Yarrowia lipolytica: one gene and its partners. The protein of the gene in region 2 interacts with the protein of the main gene of each other region in a pairwise test. Links are inferred from orthologs where the notes say so. Each region holds a gene or a part of one and is shown on either strand. Other genes may lie near its edges. The genes, in order: YALI1_C12900g, YALI1_E21513g, YALI1_B20289g and YALI1_E40502g.

Region 1 (4,393 bases), on a different chromosome or scaffold from region 2:
GTCCGATGAAGCTGCGTGAGTGGAATTCGTCCATACATGGTGGCCACTTGTCCATCTTCATCATCTCCTCACTGAATAACCTCACTCCCGCCATGGGGATCCGGACCCTGACCACCTCCGAACGCACTCCATAACGCACTCACTCTTTAGGCGTTAGAAGCGGAGATAAGGGTGTGGGGACGGCCAATGAGAGCCACAAAGTCGGTTATCGTACAGATAATATCGGCTTTTTGACGACAACAACAAGGTGACATGATACAGGCGCGTTGGTGAAGTTGAGGGAGTACTAGTACCAGCATAGAAGCATTTTGACAAACCATCTATTCCACCTGAAGACAGTCTTTCTACAAGGTTGTCTCCAATCAGCTTACTCATCAGGATGGCTCATGAGCTGCTCATTGAGTGATTGCGTTTTATCGGTCCTGTTGCTGATTTGGTTGGTTGTTTGATTGGTTGGTGCTATACAATCAGCCAACCCAAGTACTAATAGTCAACTTCTCTGGAAACAGTCCGTGCTGTCCCGTAGATGATGGTCTAATTCAATCATGAGAAGACAACTCCGCCCAGATCGGAAGCTGTGAGGATCGGAAGCTGTGAGGGTCCTGCGTCACGTGAACATATCGACACCCAACTCCATGGCACGTGACTCCCTCTCTGTGACTCCCTCCCCATCACCCCTCTGACCTCACCAACCATTCCATTGGCCAACTGCCTACGCACCAACTACAATAAACCTTCAAGTGACTCCCCCACATTTTCCAAAGGTGTAGGTTTGGAGTGAGACTTGCTCTAAAAGTGGGACTGCAAGTACATAACAGTAGTCCTACAATCATCAGGCCCCATCCATCTTTCAGGACGACCATGGCCGCAAGTAGTGACACCAGATGGCCACAAGTACAGTATGTACAGTACAGTAGTAGTGACAGCCGCTGGTGTACGGTCGTCGTACTGTAGTTTGGAGAGGACAGTTCAGTATGCTGAAAAGTTCCAGAGCTGACCAGGATAAACGGAATATACAAGATAAGTACACACAGTACCCGTTAAATCCGTCCGACTGACAATTTACGACATCCTTCTCGTCCCTTCTATCGAGAGTCCTCCCCCCTCTCTCTCCTCCGTCCTCTCTGCCCCTCTGTCCTCCCTCTGTCCTCCTCCCCTCCTCGTGCACTGATTACTGTTGATCATACTTCTAGCAGACAGATCAGGCGATACAGCCAAGCTGAAAAGACCAAGCCAAAACCATGACCAACCAAGACCAACCAAGACCAAAACACTCTCAAAAAAGGACAAAAAAATAATAAAAAAACGTCTCTGCCGGCCCACTCAACGTCCTTGTCACGTGACTCTCTCCAATCTCTCCTTGCCACTCCACCGGCTGGTTACACCTGCCTCTATCGCACCTGCATACTCCTCACAGCAAACTTTGGAGCCTTAGGTTTGTAGACTAAAGTACACCCAGGTCCCAAGAGGTGCGGAGACAGGTTCCAAAGGGGCCCAGGGAGCGGTCTAGTGACCAATCTGAGAGGGCCAATCGATTCTCCGTGGCCGCTTTGGTCGGAGGCATCACGTCGGGCTAGGACTGGGCCCCCCGCTCGTGAGGGGGATCGCATCACGGGACTTACCCTACGTCACCTCCTCTTACCCTACCTTCCCCCATTGGGCCAGCGCCAACCCACTCACACTTGTCGGTGAAATTTTCACTTTGCTGTTGCTCCAAATTTTAAGTGTCCAAACACGAGGATAATAGAGGGCTGCTAACATGTCTGTCTCCAAGGTGAGTATTTGAAGACAAGAGGGGTTGGGGGGGCCGTGAAAGCGGGACCCGGCGGCCACGCCCCAGCGGCCAAACACCGAGGATCATCCAACCCCACATGTGGGTCATGTGTGACTGACATGGGTGGAGGTGTCCCGTGGGGCACGTGGCAGAGATGTGGGATGTGGTGTCGCAGGTGTGACGGAGGAGAAGCTGATGATGGATGGCGTCAAGGGGTTTGTTGATTACGGGGTCGATTGTGTTTTTGGCTGCTTGGCTTGTGTTGGTGCTGTTTGGGTCGGTGGAGATGCACATTTGGTGTTGTCAGATCATTGCACCCAACGGCCCCATGTCCACCTAGTGGTGTGGGCAATGTGGAGACGTGGCCTCAAGGGCAGCGTCGATGATATCGCAACCAACCACAATCCCAAAATGACCCGTTCACACTGAACGATGGAGGTGCGGGGATGTCGCAATCAGACGATCCGACGGACCTACGTCCATAGTAGTCAGTGGTCAGCAGCGTCAACCACAACCATCCCACCAATCCGAAGTGCTTGTGCTATCTACGTGGCCAGTGCCATCATTCGCCGGGCATGTATCTCTTCCTCATGCGCATCACCACACTCCAACCATGGGTCTTCTCCAGACGCCTCGGACCGGTGGGCGGACCGTGTGATTCCCGGGCTGAGCATAGCCGGCCATCTCCAGAGCCCAGCTTGCCAGCTTGCCAGGTCGCCGTCGAATCGCCGTCGACCTCCTTCACATGGCGATGTCTCTTCCTGGCTACCCCACTTGGTGAGGGGAAGCCTGGGGCCGCTGCCTGCAAGTCGACTCGCAGACGAGCAGCAAGCGAGTTGCCTGTGTTGACTGCGACGTCTCCTTGCGACTCCGTTGCGAATTGTTTGTGACTCATTTACTGCCCGCTCGCGCTCGCTCCGCTTGTGCGCTCTTGCATCTTCCGTGCTAACCCAGAACCTATACGAAATCCTCGGCAACGTGGAGGAGGACTCCAACAAGGTCATTGTGACCAAGGAGCTCACCAAGAACTCCGGCTCTTCCAAGAAGAACGCCGCCCCCAAGGACCCCGGCGCTGCCATCGGTGCTTCCAAGAAGTCCAACCAGCCCCTGCGGGACCAGAACCGGTCCAAGTCCACCGAGCCCCAGGCTGAGAAGAAGGGCAAGCCTGCCCGAAACCCCCGACCTGACCGACGATCCCAGACCGGCAAGTCCGACTCTGCCAAGAAGGTTGGCAAGGGATGGGGCGACTCCAAGGGCAAGCTCGCTGACGAGAAGGCCGGTGACGCCATCGCCACCAAGGACGAGGCCGAGCCCGAGACCCCCGTCGAGGCCCCTGTTGAGGAGCCTGACAACACCAAGACTCTGGAGGAGTACCTTGCCGAGCAGAAGGCTGCCACCGCCAAGCTTGCTTCCGGCCGATCTGTCCGACAGGCCAACGCCGGCGCCGAGTCCAAGTACTCCGAGGCTTCCAAGCTCGACAAGGACGAGGTTGCCGATCTCGTTGCCGGCACCAAGGCCAAGAACGTGCGAACCCGAGCCCGAAAGGAGAAGGTTCTGCTCGAGATTGAGCCTGCCTTCCCCGCCAACCGAGAGTCTCGAGGTGACCGATCCGACCGAGCCCCCCGAGAGAACCGAGGTGGCCGAGACGGCAAGCGAGGTGGTGACAAGAAGGGTTTCCGAACCCAGGAGCGAAAGGCTCCCTCCGTCAACCTCTCTTCCGCCTCTGACTTCCCCGCCCTTGGCGCCTAAGCGGACAACCGTGTCCTTTTGACAGGTTTTGAATCAAGTCTTTTGAATGAACAGTCGCATGGCTGACAAAACGAACGATGAGTAATCAATCGAGCGAATTATGAAACTGCAACCGACCATGACCATAGCCGTGGTTGTTGCCCTGTACATGAGTATGAAGCCGGTAGTTTGTAGCATCATGGTGCGTACTTGTAGTGATTGTATTGAGATATTTTGATAATGTTAATTATAAGCATAACCAACCCGAGGATTGAGTTCATAGGACAGGAGTAAGGGGGCCATTGTGCTGCGAATATTGGTGGTAGATGGAAGCGGGAAATGGGAGAGTCATCTGTGCAACGAGAGGAGTGTGATGGTTGTTTCCTTTTTCTGATCGGGCCATCATTGGGTGAGTTGGAGAGAGTGAGAGAGTGAGTGGAGCATTTTAACCACAGTAAGTGGCTCTATATGGTGTCAGTTCTATGACTGCAATTATACGAAGCCCATTGACGAGAGCGACAGAGATGCTGGAAAAGTCCGTCATTAATGGTACAAGCACAAGTATTGTACAATTACACGTGTTGGACGGACTTGGTTATCCATTCCAGCGCTCTATTTTACTGGTTCGTGTTTTTCACTTTTTCACCATGGCTGCATCACTCAGGCCTGCTAAGTCTGTCAGTAGTTGAGAGAAAGGAATTCTGAAAGTTGCAAAATGTCGGCGTTGATCAGAGCTTTGAAATTAGGCCACAAATGATACTTCATCTTCACTCCATCACCCAGCTATGTTGCGCCTCGTGTGCCCAAATAGGGTGCTCTCCCCCGCATTTTGTATGCATGGAGTGATGCGGCTGAGACACCGCACTAATAAATGTTGGGATACGGGCCAGC
Region 2 (5,705 bases):
ACAACCTAATTCTGCGATAACTGTCATGTCCGGGAAATACAACCACAACCAAACTACTTGTAGCAGTCAGAAAAACGCACACCTCCTAAAATCAGGCCGCGGGCCTTCTCGCCGGTCACGTGACCAGAAACCAATCTCGCAAACTGAAAACACGCAAACTGCTGCTCTCAAACTGCAACCCTCAAACTGCAGCCCTCAAACCAGCCCCACCTAAATCGTAGCTTTGGCAAATAGTGTCGCACAGTAGGTTAGACTCCCGCACCAGCTGTGGAGAGAACAGTGGTCTCTCAAACTGTTTTTCAACCGGTTTTCAGATGGCGTCGCTCACTTTTGAATCACTCTTTTGAATCACTGTTTCATCTAAGGCTATACCCGATTGGTATACTCGTCTACAATGCAATCCCATACCTCTTCCACCTACATATTCTCTCCATCACACCCAGTGTATATCCCTCACTCAAACTGTGGCTGATTACCAACCACTTGTACAGCTACGATACTGATAAAAGGTTTATACTCACCGCGCCTTACTCAGCTCACTCAAGCATGTTATAAAAATGTATATGCTACCTGCACTGCGCAGTCCCGTCTCCCCGGCTTACTCCTGGCCGAAACCAACAGTCTCCTCCACAGCCATGGACAGCTTCTTGACCAAATCCTCGTAGTTCTTGTACGGAGGCAGATCGACTCGGTTGAAACAGGTATGCGACTTGGGCAGATGCTGGGCCTCTCCAGCCTTCTCAATCGTGAACCGGCGAGGACCATCGCTGCCCTGCAGATCCTTGAAGCCGTTGACGGGGATTCGCGACGTACCGGTCGTGAACTGCAGCAGCCGCGACTTTTGCTCGCTGTCCCACGATCTAATGCACTGCCAGAACCACTTGATGACCTCGTCCGACTCCGAGTAGCCCCGGTAATCGGTGTGCTTCTTCCAGTCGTCGACGTCAATGTCGGCAATACCTCCAATCAGCAGCTCCAGCTCCCGCTCGTCAAACACATTGACCAGCTCCTGGGGGATGAGCTCGTAGAATCCAGACACAAACGCCTGGAACTGCTCCTCCACACGCTTGCTGATTCGCCACTCGGTCACAAGCTCAACGTATTCAATCTTGTTATCGTTGGTCACTTCAATGTTTCGGCCGTCGGGCTTGAGATCAATGGTGACAATCTCGCCAAACTGGTCGTCCTCCACGCTGAAGGTCAGGTCCAGCACATCGGTAATGTCGTTGTCCAGCGCCCACTCCAGGTTTCGGTGGTAGTCCGCGTCCACACCCTCCATGTCCTCCAGCATAACCTTCTTCTTGAGAATCATCTTGTAGAAGGCGCCAATGAAGAAGGCGTCAAGGAATCGACGATGGAAAATGGCCAGACCGACGCACCGACCGATGAACTTGAAGTAGTTGAGATGCTCGGGGTTGATGCCACTGTGGGGGTTGATCTGCAAAGTGTAGTTGTCGTGCGCCGAGTATTCAAACAGACAGTAAAAGGGGTTGAACATTTCGTGCGACAGCAAAAAGAAGAACTCTCGCGACACTCCTCCGTAATCCAGACCCTCCTCGCCGTCGAACTTGATCATCAGTCGCTTCTGCAGATCCTGTGGCGTCTGCCGCATAATCTCCTGATATGAATCTTCAAAAATGTGATCTCGCCGCACCTTGATGTGGCACTGGCCAGGCAGAATTCGCAGAGCAGGCTGCGACCGGAAGTAGATGAGCTTTCGTCGGAAGTCCCGCTTGTACTGCGGCACGCTCTGGTCAAGCGACGAGGGCAGCCGTGGGTCTTCCCAGGTTGTGGTCTTGGTGTTGTGGTCCACAAAGTACACACGAGCAGTGTTGGTGAGCCGCATTTCCCAGCCGGAGGGAAGGGGACCCAGATGGGACACAGACATTTGCTGCACGGTCGTGTTGGTGCCCCCCGCGGCGTTGGTGCCGCCGTACATTCGAATGTACTGCTGTCGCCGAGGGTCGACCCAGGTTGTAGTTCGTGTGTTGTGGTCCACAAAGTAGGGCCGTCCCTCGGGTGTGAACCGCTGCTCCCAGCCGACAGGCAGCTCGCCCAGTGCGGGTGTGGTGGCTCCAGACATGGTCATGGCCACGGCGTCGGATGCAGACCGGGGAGTACCACCCGGGGAGGTGGCTGCAACACCGCCGGCGGCTGCACCTCCTCCCGCCGCTCCCGACGACGAACCTGCGGTGGCGCCGGAGCCGGTACGGTTGTGGGAACCGAGCGTGGGCGACTGGGCCCGCTCCTCGGGCAGCGTTCGGTTCTGGTGCCGCTGCCGCTCCAGGTTAGTGTTGTTCTGACGGGCCTGGCGCGACTCGGACTCGTTCTGCGAGTTTGCCGGGCGGGTCCACGTGGTGCTGCGATTGTTGTGGTCCACGTAGTACGTTCGGCCCAGATTGTCGGTACGTCGCTCCCAGCCGGTGGGCAGCCGGCCAAACTGATCCTCAAAGGACGAGAAGCCCCGGGAGTTGGGGGCTGGGCGTGCGGCCGTGGACGTGGCGGTAGCGGTGGGTGCACCGGCAGGGGGGCCTGTGGTGGTTGTAGTGCCCGTGGTGTTATTGGCCCCGTTCAGCGCACTGGTCGATGTGCTGTTAGTGGTGGCCGAGGGGGTGGCGCTGTGCGAGGTGGAGCTGCTTCGCACGCTGGAGTTGTCGACGCTGAGGGACGAAATGTCGGGGAGGTTGGTGCGAGCAGCAGCAGACACGGAGGCGGTGGATGGGGCGGTGGAGCCTGCCGCGGAGGAGGCGCCGGTGGCGCGTCGGCCGGCGGTGTTGGTGCTGAGGTTGAGGATGATCTTGCCGTTGACCACGAGCGAGTCGTTGGCCTTGCGGAGGTCCTTGGTGATCATCTCGTCTCCTCCTTGGGCCAGGTTGAGCACGTCGCCCACGCGGATGTTGATGACGCCGAGGAAGCCCTGGTCCTTCTTTTTGAACTTTTTGTGGTCAAAGATTTGCACAACGATGATGGACGACGGGGTAACGTCGACGTCGAACGACTCGTTCCAGTAGGGGTTGAGCGTTTTCTTGATGACGGAGGTGGTTCGGGTTTGGCCGCCGTCCACGAGGACCACTGCGAAGGGGTCGGGGAGACGGAAGACATCTCTTTTGTATAGTTGGTCTGCGGCGATGACTGTGTTAGCGGGGTTGGAAGAGTAGCGTGTGCAGCGAGCTACGAGGGCTCGAGTGGACACCGGGTCGCACGACGGCCGGACACCGGGTCACACGACGGCCGGATACCAGGTCGCACGACGGGCAACGACCAATGCAATGATATGAACCCCGACCATACAACGCAACGATGGCAACGACTGATGACAATGATGTACAATAACGTACGGCAACGACGTTGAGAACATATTTGACCCGGGCACTCCTCCACTCTGATCACAGAGGAGACCAAGTCTTGAAGACGTCCTGGCCATTCCATATCGTAGGTCTTTGCCATTCGACACCGTCATTCAGCATGGTCTCTCCGCACCGTCACTCGTTCCGTCACTCGTTCCGTCACTGGTGTCGCACAGACTCGATCTCCGGTCCAGAGTTTGTGTATCTCCGAATGGATATCAGGCCAGTTGTCATAGGGGCGTTCGGCCGAGGACCGTTCCCATTGGACTGTGTCTGTGCCATTCTCTGTCTGTGCCACCTTGTGTCTGCGACATTCTCTGTCTGCGACATTCTCTGTCTGTGTCACCCTGTCCCATGTCCACCCAGTGTTCCGTTGGTCCTGACTGGTCCCTGACTGACTGCCACAGTCGCTCCGTGGCGCAACGCCACCGGCTCATACTCACCCGTCAGCCTTAGCTTGGTTGTCCTGGGCATGCCGGAATTCTATCGCTCTGGTGGAAGAGGAAGACTGTGCTGGAATCTAGGAGCTTTGTAGCCCGGTTCGATAACTAGCTCAAGTGAGAGTGACACACACAGTTTGGGTCTTAGTCTTGCTGCCTCGCCTCCCAATTTCAAAGTTACCCGGGGTACGTAGAGGCATTAATAGTGGTGGTGGGAAAAGACGGGCAAAGGAGCCGGTGGCCGAGTCACGTGGACTCCCGCAGACAGCAGACACGTGCCTGCCACCTGTTTGTTGCGCGGCCAAATATATACCCCACGGGCCCTTGTCTCCTTCTCGTTTGTTTCTCCTCTGAGGATTCCTTTTTTTTTTCTCTTCATCCCCACCCTACTTCCAACTGTACTGCAGTATGAACTTTAGTGAATGTGTGAGTTCAATTTGACGAGGTTGTTGGCCATGTGCTGTACGTGGGACACGCACGGTTCGAGCCCAGTATGAGCACATTTGGCTGTATTACACCGTGGGACAGCTCCTTGGGTCCAACTTTACTCGACGGTCGCCAATCCGCTCTTTCAACCGCTGAGACGAACCGCTTCTGACCGTCTCAAACCGCTTCGACAACGTTTGTCAGCACCTTCACTAGCGCCTTGTACCTACGACCCACGATACTCCACTCCGCCCCGTATTATTCAGGAGATGCCACTGTTGGTCCAGCCGGATGGATGCGCAAGCGGACCGCGAAGTAAAAGCGTGTCGACGTGGTCCATGCGACATTTGAAGGGCTCGTGGAGTCGGAGGAGTGTATAGGAGCAGTCTATAGCAGTCTATAGCGTCTATAGCAGTCTATAGCAGTCTATAGCAGTCTTTAGGAGTGCACTCGTATCAATCTATACTCCAGATGGCATCGTACCTGAGACACTGGTGACCACGACACCTCCACTTGCCGAGGGCAGGCCGACCACCTCACCAAACTTGCGGCATATCTCAACTTTGCTCGCCAACCTCGACACGGAGCTTTTGCTCTGCTATCGTGCAGGTTGCGTGACTAATGTGGGTCGCTGCGCCTCCTCGGAGCTATTTTGGGAGTAGCGAGTGGCGGTGAAGACAAGCCCGTGGGTTCGAGTCTGGCGGAAAACGAACATGGAGCGGCTAGGGCTGGGGTATTTCCGATCACTAATCACAAAAGGGAAGCGCATCTGCATGGCGTCAGCTTTGCCCTACTTTGGAGAAAGTGGGCGGAAAATGGTCTGAGCAAATATCGCCGGATGTATATATAGGAGCGAGCGTTTGGCTCGGCAGGTCAACAGAGACGACTGACGAGTAACAGGCGACACGAGGACAACAGAAGAACGTCTCGACTTACGAGTAGACTCGGTAAGACTCACGAAATCCACATGTTGACTATCGACCATTGACAGAACCACTTCCGTGACTTGCGACTTGATACCTTTCTTCTGATCGCTACCATTGGTCTGATTCTGATCTGATACCTTTCTTCTGATGCTGATGCTGATCCTGATGCTGATCCTGATACTACTCTGATCTATGATATCTCCTATCCCTACTAACTCATCAAGTAAACATTCACTATGCAAATAAATACGGCATAAAGTCCAAACTAAACCTGGTCGGCTCGAGCCCAGTCCTTGGCCTTGGAGTGCTCCTCATAGGAGTTGCCCGATCCGCTGGGCTCAACGCCCGACAAGAACTCCACGCCATTGGTGGACTGCTCCTCAAGCTCGTGGTCCTTGTGGATGGCATGCTGGACGTTGACCTTGGGGCCCTTGAACCACTTTCGTGCGTCGATCATGAACCAGCCAAACGCCAGAAGCATGGGACCAAAGTAGACCACCACGGTCCAGTTCATGGTGTCGAGATCGAGGTTCTTGCCCTTGTACTGGGGCAGACACAGAATGGGG
Region 3 (3,732 bases), on a different chromosome or scaffold from region 2:
TCTGAATCTCCCCGACAGCTTGGCCACTTGTTTATCGGAAACTCCAAAGATGCCTTTGTTTGAAGCTCTCATGAATATGAGACCGCAAGAGTCTGGAACGGTCCCTCTTCTCAGAATTGTGAACGAAAGGAACAGGTTCAACGAACAGAACAGATTCCATAGCCACACCTTTGCCTATGGCTTCACAACCGAAGGCAATTCGAGAGGTCGCGCTTATGGAATCGACTCGTATAAAGCTGAAGGAAAGGGAGACGTTCCGAGCGCTCAGATGCAATAGTCGTCCAGCTAATGTGGATTCAAAAACAACCCCAACAGTAATCTTGAAAATTTGAACGGATCAATCTGAACACTCTTGCTCCAGGTCATTCTTCTAACGCACATCCCCAGAGTCTAGAGGGAGTTGTGTTGTGAACATCCTAATAAACAATGCAATGGATTCGGGATATCTTCTGTCTCGCCCCCTACTCGATGTCGAGTAAACCGATCACCAACTAACAATACTCCTCCGCGTTCTGCCATTGACTCTCAAACAGACATCGCTATCAACGGAACAGCATATTTTAGCTTCTTAGGACGAATAAATATTGATACCGGCTCTCCCTCGGTATATTAAGCAATCCATTCATACACTCATTCATCAGGTTAATTTTATATATATAATTTGTCTATTCAAACACCGTAAATTACTGGTACCATCATCTCCTCCTTTTCAAATACACGTCTATTTGCATTAATGAAATTACTCGCCAATTCGCAGAACGTGTTTGTCGAACAGAGCCTTAGCTCGGGTCCAGACAGGAGCAGTGTCTCGCTGAGGAAGCTGCAGGAGAGAAGGCAGCAGAGCCTCAGAAAAGGCCTCGGAAGCCTCTCGCGGCAGAAGAGAGGGCAGGTGGTCGATCGAGCACACGGACAGCTTGGGGCCAGCAGTGGTCTCAACAGGCACGGTGGGATGGTCGAACGTGGTAGCAATTGTGTACACGGGGACAGGGTTGTGGGGGTTGGTGGTGTCAGCAGAGACGTCGACAATGACACTGAGCTTTCGGGTCTCCTTGTTGAGCAGATCGTAGTTGATGAAAGGAGGAATGGGCTGAGACAGGTAGATGCAGTTGATGAAGATATCCGCGTCAGCAATCTCTTGGAAGGGTCCACCCTTCTTGGTCTCGTTCATGTCCCATCGAATGATGTTCTCTTCGGGGATACCGACCTTTCGGGCCAGATCAATGGCACCGGATCCACATCGGCCAAGAGCACCAATCACCAGGACGGTAGGGAGCTTGGAGCCCTTCTCAACAGCAGCGGCAAGATCCTTCTTAATCTTGTCGACAAGCTCGGTCTCATTGGGATAGGCAGAGACACCGGGCAGGTTTTCGCTGTCGGGGTGGGTCTGCTGGAAGGCCCAAGTCTCGACACCGATGGCGGCACCGGCGAATCCAGCGTGGAAGCCAAAGGCGGCAACTCGTCGTCCATTGTCATCCTCCAGGAACTCAAGGTCGTACAGAGTTCCGTTTCCTGCGGGGAATCGGCTCAGAACGTCCTTCCATCCGCCCTGATCCTTGTAGCAGTGAGCAAACTGGATGTGCTCGTGAGACAGAGGGAAAGATTCCTCAGGCAGCTCCTTAAGACCAATAATCATTCGGTCCTCGGGGGCAGAGACCCAAGAGCCCTCCTCGACAAGAGTGGCTCCGACATCGACAAACTCCTGGTCGTCGAAGATTCGAAGGGGAGACTTCTCCACAAAGACCTCGAATCCAGCATCAAGCAGCTTTCGGGTGGTAGTAGGCGTGAGAGCAGATCGGTGCTCGAGAGGCTTGGTCTCGGCTCGGAGATGGAGCTTCACTGGTGCGGTCATTGTGTCTGTGTTGTTGTATGTGGTGAAGTGACAATGGATGGTGTGTCGTATCAGGCTGGGGAACAATTGTGCTTAAGTATGCTGCAGTTGAGTAAGAGTCATCGATCCACCAAAATAAAGTTTGCCATTAGGGTTGGAGAGAGAGATGGTGGCTGGAAGAATTAAATGACATCAAGCTGAGGATTGTGGGTGTGCAATAACACATGTTAGGGGTGACCTGTGGCTCGAAATCTGATAATTATTTTGTAACTTTATGATTATTCTTAGATTTTTTAATATTCCTCTATATAACACATAAGTAGCTGTCGTCTAGTTGTTCATAGCCTGACTCCTGCAATAGATTAGTGCAGAGTGATTTTGTGCAATTGAGAGCCACGGTTGAGTCAAGTGACTTTGTGTGTGAAGTCATCTTACGTTTCAAGTCTCACAGGTTACTCAATTGGTTGGTTGTCTGCCCTTTACAGATATTTACAGTACCTGAGCGTAAAGTCGTTCATCCACGGAATGACTGTTCCTGTCACGCAGTCATGATCATGGATGTGGCTGGTCAGGAACCATTTTGGATAGGAGACTTAGGGATTGGACTATTATTGAAAAAACTGAGCCGAATATGATATAGTTCTATTTGAATGCAGAACTTCTGATGGTCAATTCACTTATTTCAGGCATATCGGTCATGGGTGGCAGCTGCCACGATGTTATCTCGTTGGAAACCTCGTCCGCCATTAACCGAACATGCTTCTAGAAGATGAGAATACAGCATGTACTTGTACAAGATTCTCGGCATTGATGGTCTCAGGCATGCGTTCCTTATGTGCTTAGTAAGGGTTTTGGAAGTTCTAAACCCCTGTAAGAGGCAAGCATCGAGCAAAGACTATGACTAGATTTGGTTGGTGATGTACCATGATGCTCATTGTGAGAAGGAAACAACAATCCATGAAACAACCATCCATGAAACATCCAGGTTGTAGCCTACCATACTATGTATCTTGTTGTTTTGTCAACTAAGAAAAACCATATTGTCGATGAACAGGCTGGTAGCATGAAATAAATCACGTCATCATCTCCCTCGCACATCTTTCATGAACATCAGAAACTATCATATCTTCAGAAGCGTGGGTTTAGCACTACTTGTAGATATCTCTTCAACAGTACTCGTACCGAACATCCATCCGCGCACGCATACTTTAGTTCTTGTCCCAAGCCATCTACAGTATGGTTCTGCTATGCACCAACTCTAATAATTCACCAGCATCACCAACTACACTTCTCTACACATTCACCACCACACATCACATAACATGCCTGTGACTCGACGATCACTTCACCGGCAATCGGTCATGCGATCGGCCGGTGCCTCTACTTACGCCAACGACACAGATTCAAAGGTGGTCCACTGGGTCCGACAATGGGTATCTCCTCAACAGTCACCAAACGTGGTGTCTGCTCCATCTGAAAAGCGAGCACAGACCCCTGCTGACGCCGAGAAGGGCACCCCCGCGTCTACCCCTGTGTCGCTGTCGAACCTCAACTTCAAGGTCAAGCAATGGATTCCTGATCCCGACCAGGAGGCTCATGTCGCTTTCAAGTACGGCTCCACAGACGACGTGATTGCATTCGTGACTGAGGTGCACGCTCCCCCGGAGGTCAAGAACGACAATGATCTAACTGCGTCGGATATTCGAGGCGCCGTGGGAGGCGAGGCCATTCCTGGAATGACTACCATGGACAAGCAGGGTGACGAGGAGAAGCCCGCTGAGGAGAAGCCCGCTGAGCCTGCTGCTGCCACCGCTGAAGAAGCTCTCAACAACACCACCATCCCCGAGGCCAAAATTGAGGTCGACTCTTCCGAGATGGTGGTGGATGCTCCCGAGCCTACTTCT
Region 4 (4,732 bases), about 1.9 Mb from region 2:
ACCGGAGTCAAGTCTTCGGGAGTCGATGTGAAGGTCATCTCACACTCCAAGCAGCGAAACGCTGTATGGTATGGAGGATCTCTGCTGTCTTCTACTCCCGAGTTCAAGAACTACTGCTACACCAAGCAGGATTACGACGAGATGGGACCTGGTATTGTGCGAAACTTTTCTCTGTTTTCCATGGTCTAGGGATTGTATGTAGTGTACATTTATGATATAACGATTGATCCAGCCCAGTGTCATGATACACGAGGTGAGTTGGTAGAAATGTTGGGTGTACTATAGAAGGCTATGTGTACACTATGTTGATAATTAATTATAAGAATACTGATGAAAGAATTCTCGTCTCAAGAGCCAATGACCCTACGTATTACGTAGTGTCCTGTGCCAAGAGTGCGTAATATCCGAGATAATAGTGCAGTTGACGTTGGTGCACAAGCCAATGGCAGCACGTTGTGGTTATTGTGGCTTTTCCTACTCCGTTGCTCCTGTCTGCTGTTATTGCTACTGCTACTGGTCGCTACTTGAAGCTACTGTCTGTGTGTAATTATATCTAATAAATGTATTCAGAAAATGCTAAAGAATAAATAGAGATCTACCAATCGATAGACCGTGAAAGTCAGAGAAGAATGTGGTTGTGAAAAGTCGTGATTGTAGAGTCGTAAAGTGTTTTGAAGTGGCCCTAGCGATCTGCTTAAGATCGCATGTAGTTGAGCAGACCCTGAATACCAGCGTCGAAGCCCTGGTCCCACTCCCAGATGGCACCGGAGTTACCCTTAGCAGCAATGTGCTGGGCTCGTCGGGCGTCCTGCCAGGCGTTGATTCGGCCAATGGTGGAGCCGTGGAACTCGTAGAAGGCGGCAGCGTCCTGCCATCCCGAAACGTATCCATCGGCGTATCGCCAGTGCTCGTAGTTACCCTGATGCTGGTCCCAGTAGGCAGAGTGCTCCTCGGTAGCCTTGGTGGCTGCCTCCTTGATGCCGGCCTTGGGATCCTTGTTGGAGCCTCCGTTGGAGAAGGTCGGGAGGGCGCCCTTCTGGGTCATGGGTTTGAAGCCCCAATCGCCTCCATCGCCGTACTGGAACTTGTAAGTCCAGAAGAACCATCCGGCTCGGGCATTCTGGTTGAAGGACTCAATTTGAACCTGGCCGTACTTGATGGCAAGCTGCTCTCGGTCCTCACCGCCGGCCTTAGCCCAGGTCTCCTCGGAGAAGACACAGGAGAACTCGCCGACAATAGAATCAGCCTGGGCCTTTCCAACATTGAGGTAGGCGGGAACGTTGGCAATGTTCTGCTGGGGAGAGTTGCCCTTGTCCTGCTCGGAGAAGGCCTTGTAGACGTGCGAGTCGACAACAAAACCAGTGTTCTGACCGGCAGAAAGCTTCTGGTTCTGCTCCTGGACCCACTCGTTCCATTCGGTAGGAGCCCAGCCATCGGAGATGTAGACGGGAACGTCAGGGTTCACCTGTCGGATGGCCTCGAGAGCTCGCAGGTAGTAAGAGCCCTCCTTGGAAGTGGAAGCGTCGTAGACGGCCTCGTTGACGACCTCGATACCGAGAACGTTGTCGTATGAAAGCACGTCCTTGGCGACCCACTGGAGAGCGTCAATAGCAATCTTCTGGTCGCTTCGAGAGTCCCAGAACTCGACCTTACCGGAAGAGGTTCCAGAGTGAGCGTCTCCGTTGGCGCCGCCGGGAACGGCATGCAGATCAATCAGAACAGCAATGTTGGCGGCTCGGGCCTTGTCGAGAATGTTGGTCTTGAAAATGGACCAGGCGTTCTGGTAGACGGACTGGTACTGCTGGAAGGGGGTGCCCTGGGTGAAGGCGCCTCCGTTGATGGTCCAGTAGCCCATGGGCACTCGGATGGCGTTGGCTCCCACAGACTGCAGGTACGAGAAGTCGTCGTCGGTGATCCAGGTGTTCCAGTGGTCCTCAAACTTCTTCTGGGCGCCGCCGGCACCCTGTTCGGCAACGAGAGCGGTCACAGCGTCGAGCTCAGCGTCTCCCTTGGCGGAGTCGGGGAACATGCCAGGGGTCAGCCACTTCTCGAGAAGGAACATGGAGCCAATGTTGGGGCCATGGTTGTTTCGCGACTGGAAGATGGTTCGGTCATTGGGAGCCTGGTTGGGCTTGCTGAGGTCGGCAGCGGCCACGGGGCCAACGTTGTTGACCATGTCTCTGATTTTGGTTCCAAGTCCCATGTTGTGAGTGTCGGTGGTAGTGTCGGGGGGGGAGTCTTCCTGGTGAACGGGGATAAAGAGGGGGATGAGACTGGGGTTAGGCTCGGTCTCAATTGATGCGGTGGCAGGTTCGGGAATGGAAGAAGTAGAAGAAGAAACCTCAATGGTGTGGGTCTCGGAGCTAAGATTGCTACCAGAAGTTAAGGTTGCGGTATATGCTGCGGACGAGGTACCAGCTGAACTTTGCTCCCGGAGAGCAGCAGCAGAGGCAGAGGCCAGTCCGAGATTGCAGTCGACAGAAGTCTCGACGGTGTCTCGCTTGTTGTGGACAGTGCCGCTCAGGGCAACGCCGTTGAATGCAGGAAAGGGTTTGGGCAGAATGGTAACATATCTGACTGTGGGGGAGGGTTCGGGGGTTGCGGCGTCGGAAATTATCGTCTCAGAGGCTGTTTCGAACACGGTTTCTAGCACCGTAGAGTGAATCTCCACAGTGACGGCGGCAGACATGGCCACAGAGGCCATAGAAAGGAGAGTTGTGAACTTCATCGCAAATGAAAGTGAATAGCGTCAATTGACAATGTCGGATAGACAGTAATAAGAAAGTGTCGGATAGACAGTAGGTGTCGGATGGACAGTGGGTGTCGGATAGACAGTGAGTGTCGGATGGACAAGTGGTGGAGGTGTCGGATGGACAAGTGAGTGTCAAAAGACTGTAGAAGTTGTGAAAGAGAGTGTTGATGAGATTGTCTGATGAGAATACAAGTTTCGAGGATTGTTCACATCTATATATACTGAGTGCATCTTTATTTCCCCAGACTATTTCCCAGCCTTGCATTTTTTCATCTCCGCAGGGCTGCCACATAACCTCACCGAAGTATGCTGTGGCAACCAGCATCTCAACGTTCCCTGCATCTTACACGTCCAAACCATCGCTCGGGTGTGTCTACCGAAACCCAATCTGCAGTCTTGGTGTCAGACACACTCTGGTTTGGTCCATCTTCTCTAGCCGTAAAAGCTCTTTTTTCCCTCTTCTATCTTCCCTCAACCAGCCTCCCAACTACTGGTACAGCTCTCATGCACGATACCACAAGAGAGACCTTATCTGAAGGTGGCGATCCAGCCCCGAGGCACTTGCCACACGAACAATGGGCTGGAAGAGACAGGGGTCGTGTGTTTCATCGTTTGATTACAATGGTCTAAATGAGTCAAATCCGATCAGCTGTAACACACGTGGAGATGGGGGCACCTGGCGTGTGTGGAGATGAGATCCTTGACATGCTGATATGCAGGTCTCAATCTTCGCAAGCTCTGTCTAACAAAATATCACACATACCACTTCACTTCTACAGTATTATTATCCACCGTTGCCCACACTAGTTGTAATATTTCCGAACACTGACCCAATAATCAGACCCCAGGGTCCTCCAAAAGTTGTTTTCTTAGTGTACTGTTGAAGACCAGCGCTCAAAACAACCACCCTCAGAAAGGACGGTGGGCTACCAGCCTCATTGTGTTTGGGCCTAATGTGGCATAACCCTACCCCTGTTGATGCACTGGAAACGTTATCTGTTACCAGCAAAAACTTGTGCTGACGCGATTGCTAACGCCGTAGAAGTTGCACTAGCGGTTGAGCTATTCAGGGAGATGTAATAATGGAATATTCTGTGTTTTTCACACGATTTGAACCAATTTCAGCTATGCAAACCCCTAGATAGACATTTATGATAGACATTAAAAGACGTTCAAATACGATGAGGCACCTGAAACTCTATTTTGCAATGACCAGATGATCCTGTTTACCCTAACCCAACCTGACTGGAAATTAAGGGCCACAAACGCACAAACGCAGTCCACACGTGGGGAACATCATGTGTGACGTAATGTCAGATCGGTTATTACATTTCATTCTTTGTCCATGTGTTGGATTTGCTCTTTGTGGCGTTTCAGATTGTATTCTCCGTTGAAATTTGCAGATCTATGACGTCACAGCGTCTGTTTGAACTGTTGGAGAACAGTTGCAGCGGTACTTGTATGTAGACAGATATGAAGTCCAACTGTACCATGATGCTTTGGCTTATCAAGCCTCCCTTTTATGAGGTGGGTAACAATTGCTTGTTTATGCCCCCATTATAATGGTCCTATGTGGTACAATAAAAATGCATTCAGTTATATGTAGTGTGGATCAATGTCCATCTCTTTTATCCTTTTCTCACCTTCTCTTTTCGTATCGTTATTAGTGGTCGTCGTCGCTGCTGCTACTGCTGAAGTCGTAATCCTCATCTGGTCTCTGTTGAACGTACTCTCCGATGTCGAAAAGAGGACCCACAGTCTTGACCCAGGTCTGGTCCCAGGTGTTTCGAGACTCGATCATAGCTCCTCGCTTGATGTTGTCAAGTTTTCCACGGTTGGAAAACAAGGACATGAAAGTGTTGCCCATCTCCACGTGGCCCTTGACAGCCACACCGTTGGTGTTGGTCTTGACCAGCTCAGAAAGAGCAGCGTAGTCCACAGACACCACAGGAATGCCACATCCAAACATATCAACGACCT

Evidence for each region.
Region 1: the proteins of YALI1_E21513g (region 2) and YALI1_C12900g interact in binary tests that used the Saccharomyces cerevisiae proteins (3 or more experiments, as listed by UniProt). The link is inferred for Yarrowia lipolytica from reciprocal best matches to the Saccharomyces cerevisiae genes RSP5 and STM1.
Region 3: the proteins of YALI1_E21513g (region 2) and YALI1_B20289g interact in binary tests that used the Saccharomyces cerevisiae proteins (3 or more experiments, as listed by UniProt). The link is inferred for Yarrowia lipolytica from reciprocal best matches to the Saccharomyces cerevisiae genes RSP5 and LYS1.
Region 4: the proteins of YALI1_E21513g (region 2) and YALI1_E40502g interact in binary tests that used the Saccharomyces cerevisiae proteins (3 or more experiments, as listed by UniProt). The link is inferred for Yarrowia lipolytica from reciprocal best matches to the Saccharomyces cerevisiae genes RSP5 and MRX18.

Annotation. Positions count from the first base shown.
Region 1 is NC_090772.1:1,288,415-1,292,807, reverse strand, and holds YALI1_C12900g (uncharacterized protein), read left to right. Parts: upstream 1-1,759; coding exon 1,760-1,774; intron 1,775-2,728; coding exon 2,729-3,523; downstream 3,524-4,393. UniProt on the Saccharomyces cerevisiae protein: Ribosome preservation factor that protect a small pool of nontranslating, vacant ribosomes in cells under nutrient starvation conditions.
Region 2 is NC_090774.1:2,148,189-2,153,893, forward strand, and holds YALI1_E21513g (uncharacterized protein), read right to left. Parts: upstream 3,822-5,705; coding exon 3,791-3,821; intron 3,133-3,790; coding exon 599-3,132; downstream 1-598. Other genes in the region: YALI1_E21524g (uncharacterized protein), read left to right, coding at 4,210-4,267, 4,316-4,593; YALI1_E21535g (uncharacterized protein), read right to left, coding at 5,004-5,307, 5,352-5,359; YALI1_E21552g (uncharacterized protein), read right to left, coding at 5,405-5,705. UniProt on the Saccharomyces cerevisiae protein: E3 ubiquitin-protein ligase which accepts ubiquitin from an E2 ubiquitin-conjugating enzyme in the form of a thioester and then directly transfers the ubiquitin to targeted substrates.
Region 3 is NC_090771.1:2,027,043-2,030,774, reverse strand, and holds YALI1_B20289g (uncharacterized protein), read right to left. Parts: upstream 1,850-3,732; coding exon 740-1,849; downstream 1-739. Other genes in the region: YALI1_B20319g (uncharacterized protein), read left to right, coding at 1-277; YALI1_B20276g (uncharacterized protein), read left to right, coding at 3,151-3,732. UniProt on the Saccharomyces cerevisiae protein: Catalyzes the NAD(+)-dependent cleavage of saccharopine to L-lysine and 2-oxoglutarate, the final step in the alpha-aminoadipate (AAA) pathway for lysine biosynthesis.
Region 4 is NC_090774.1:4,048,240-4,052,971, reverse strand, and holds YALI1_E40502g (uncharacterized protein), read right to left. Parts: upstream 2,729-4,732; coding exon 695-2,728; downstream 1-694. Other genes in the region: YALI1_E40540g (uncharacterized protein), read left to right, coding at 1-189; YALI1_E40471g (uncharacterized protein), read right to left, coding at 4,416-4,732.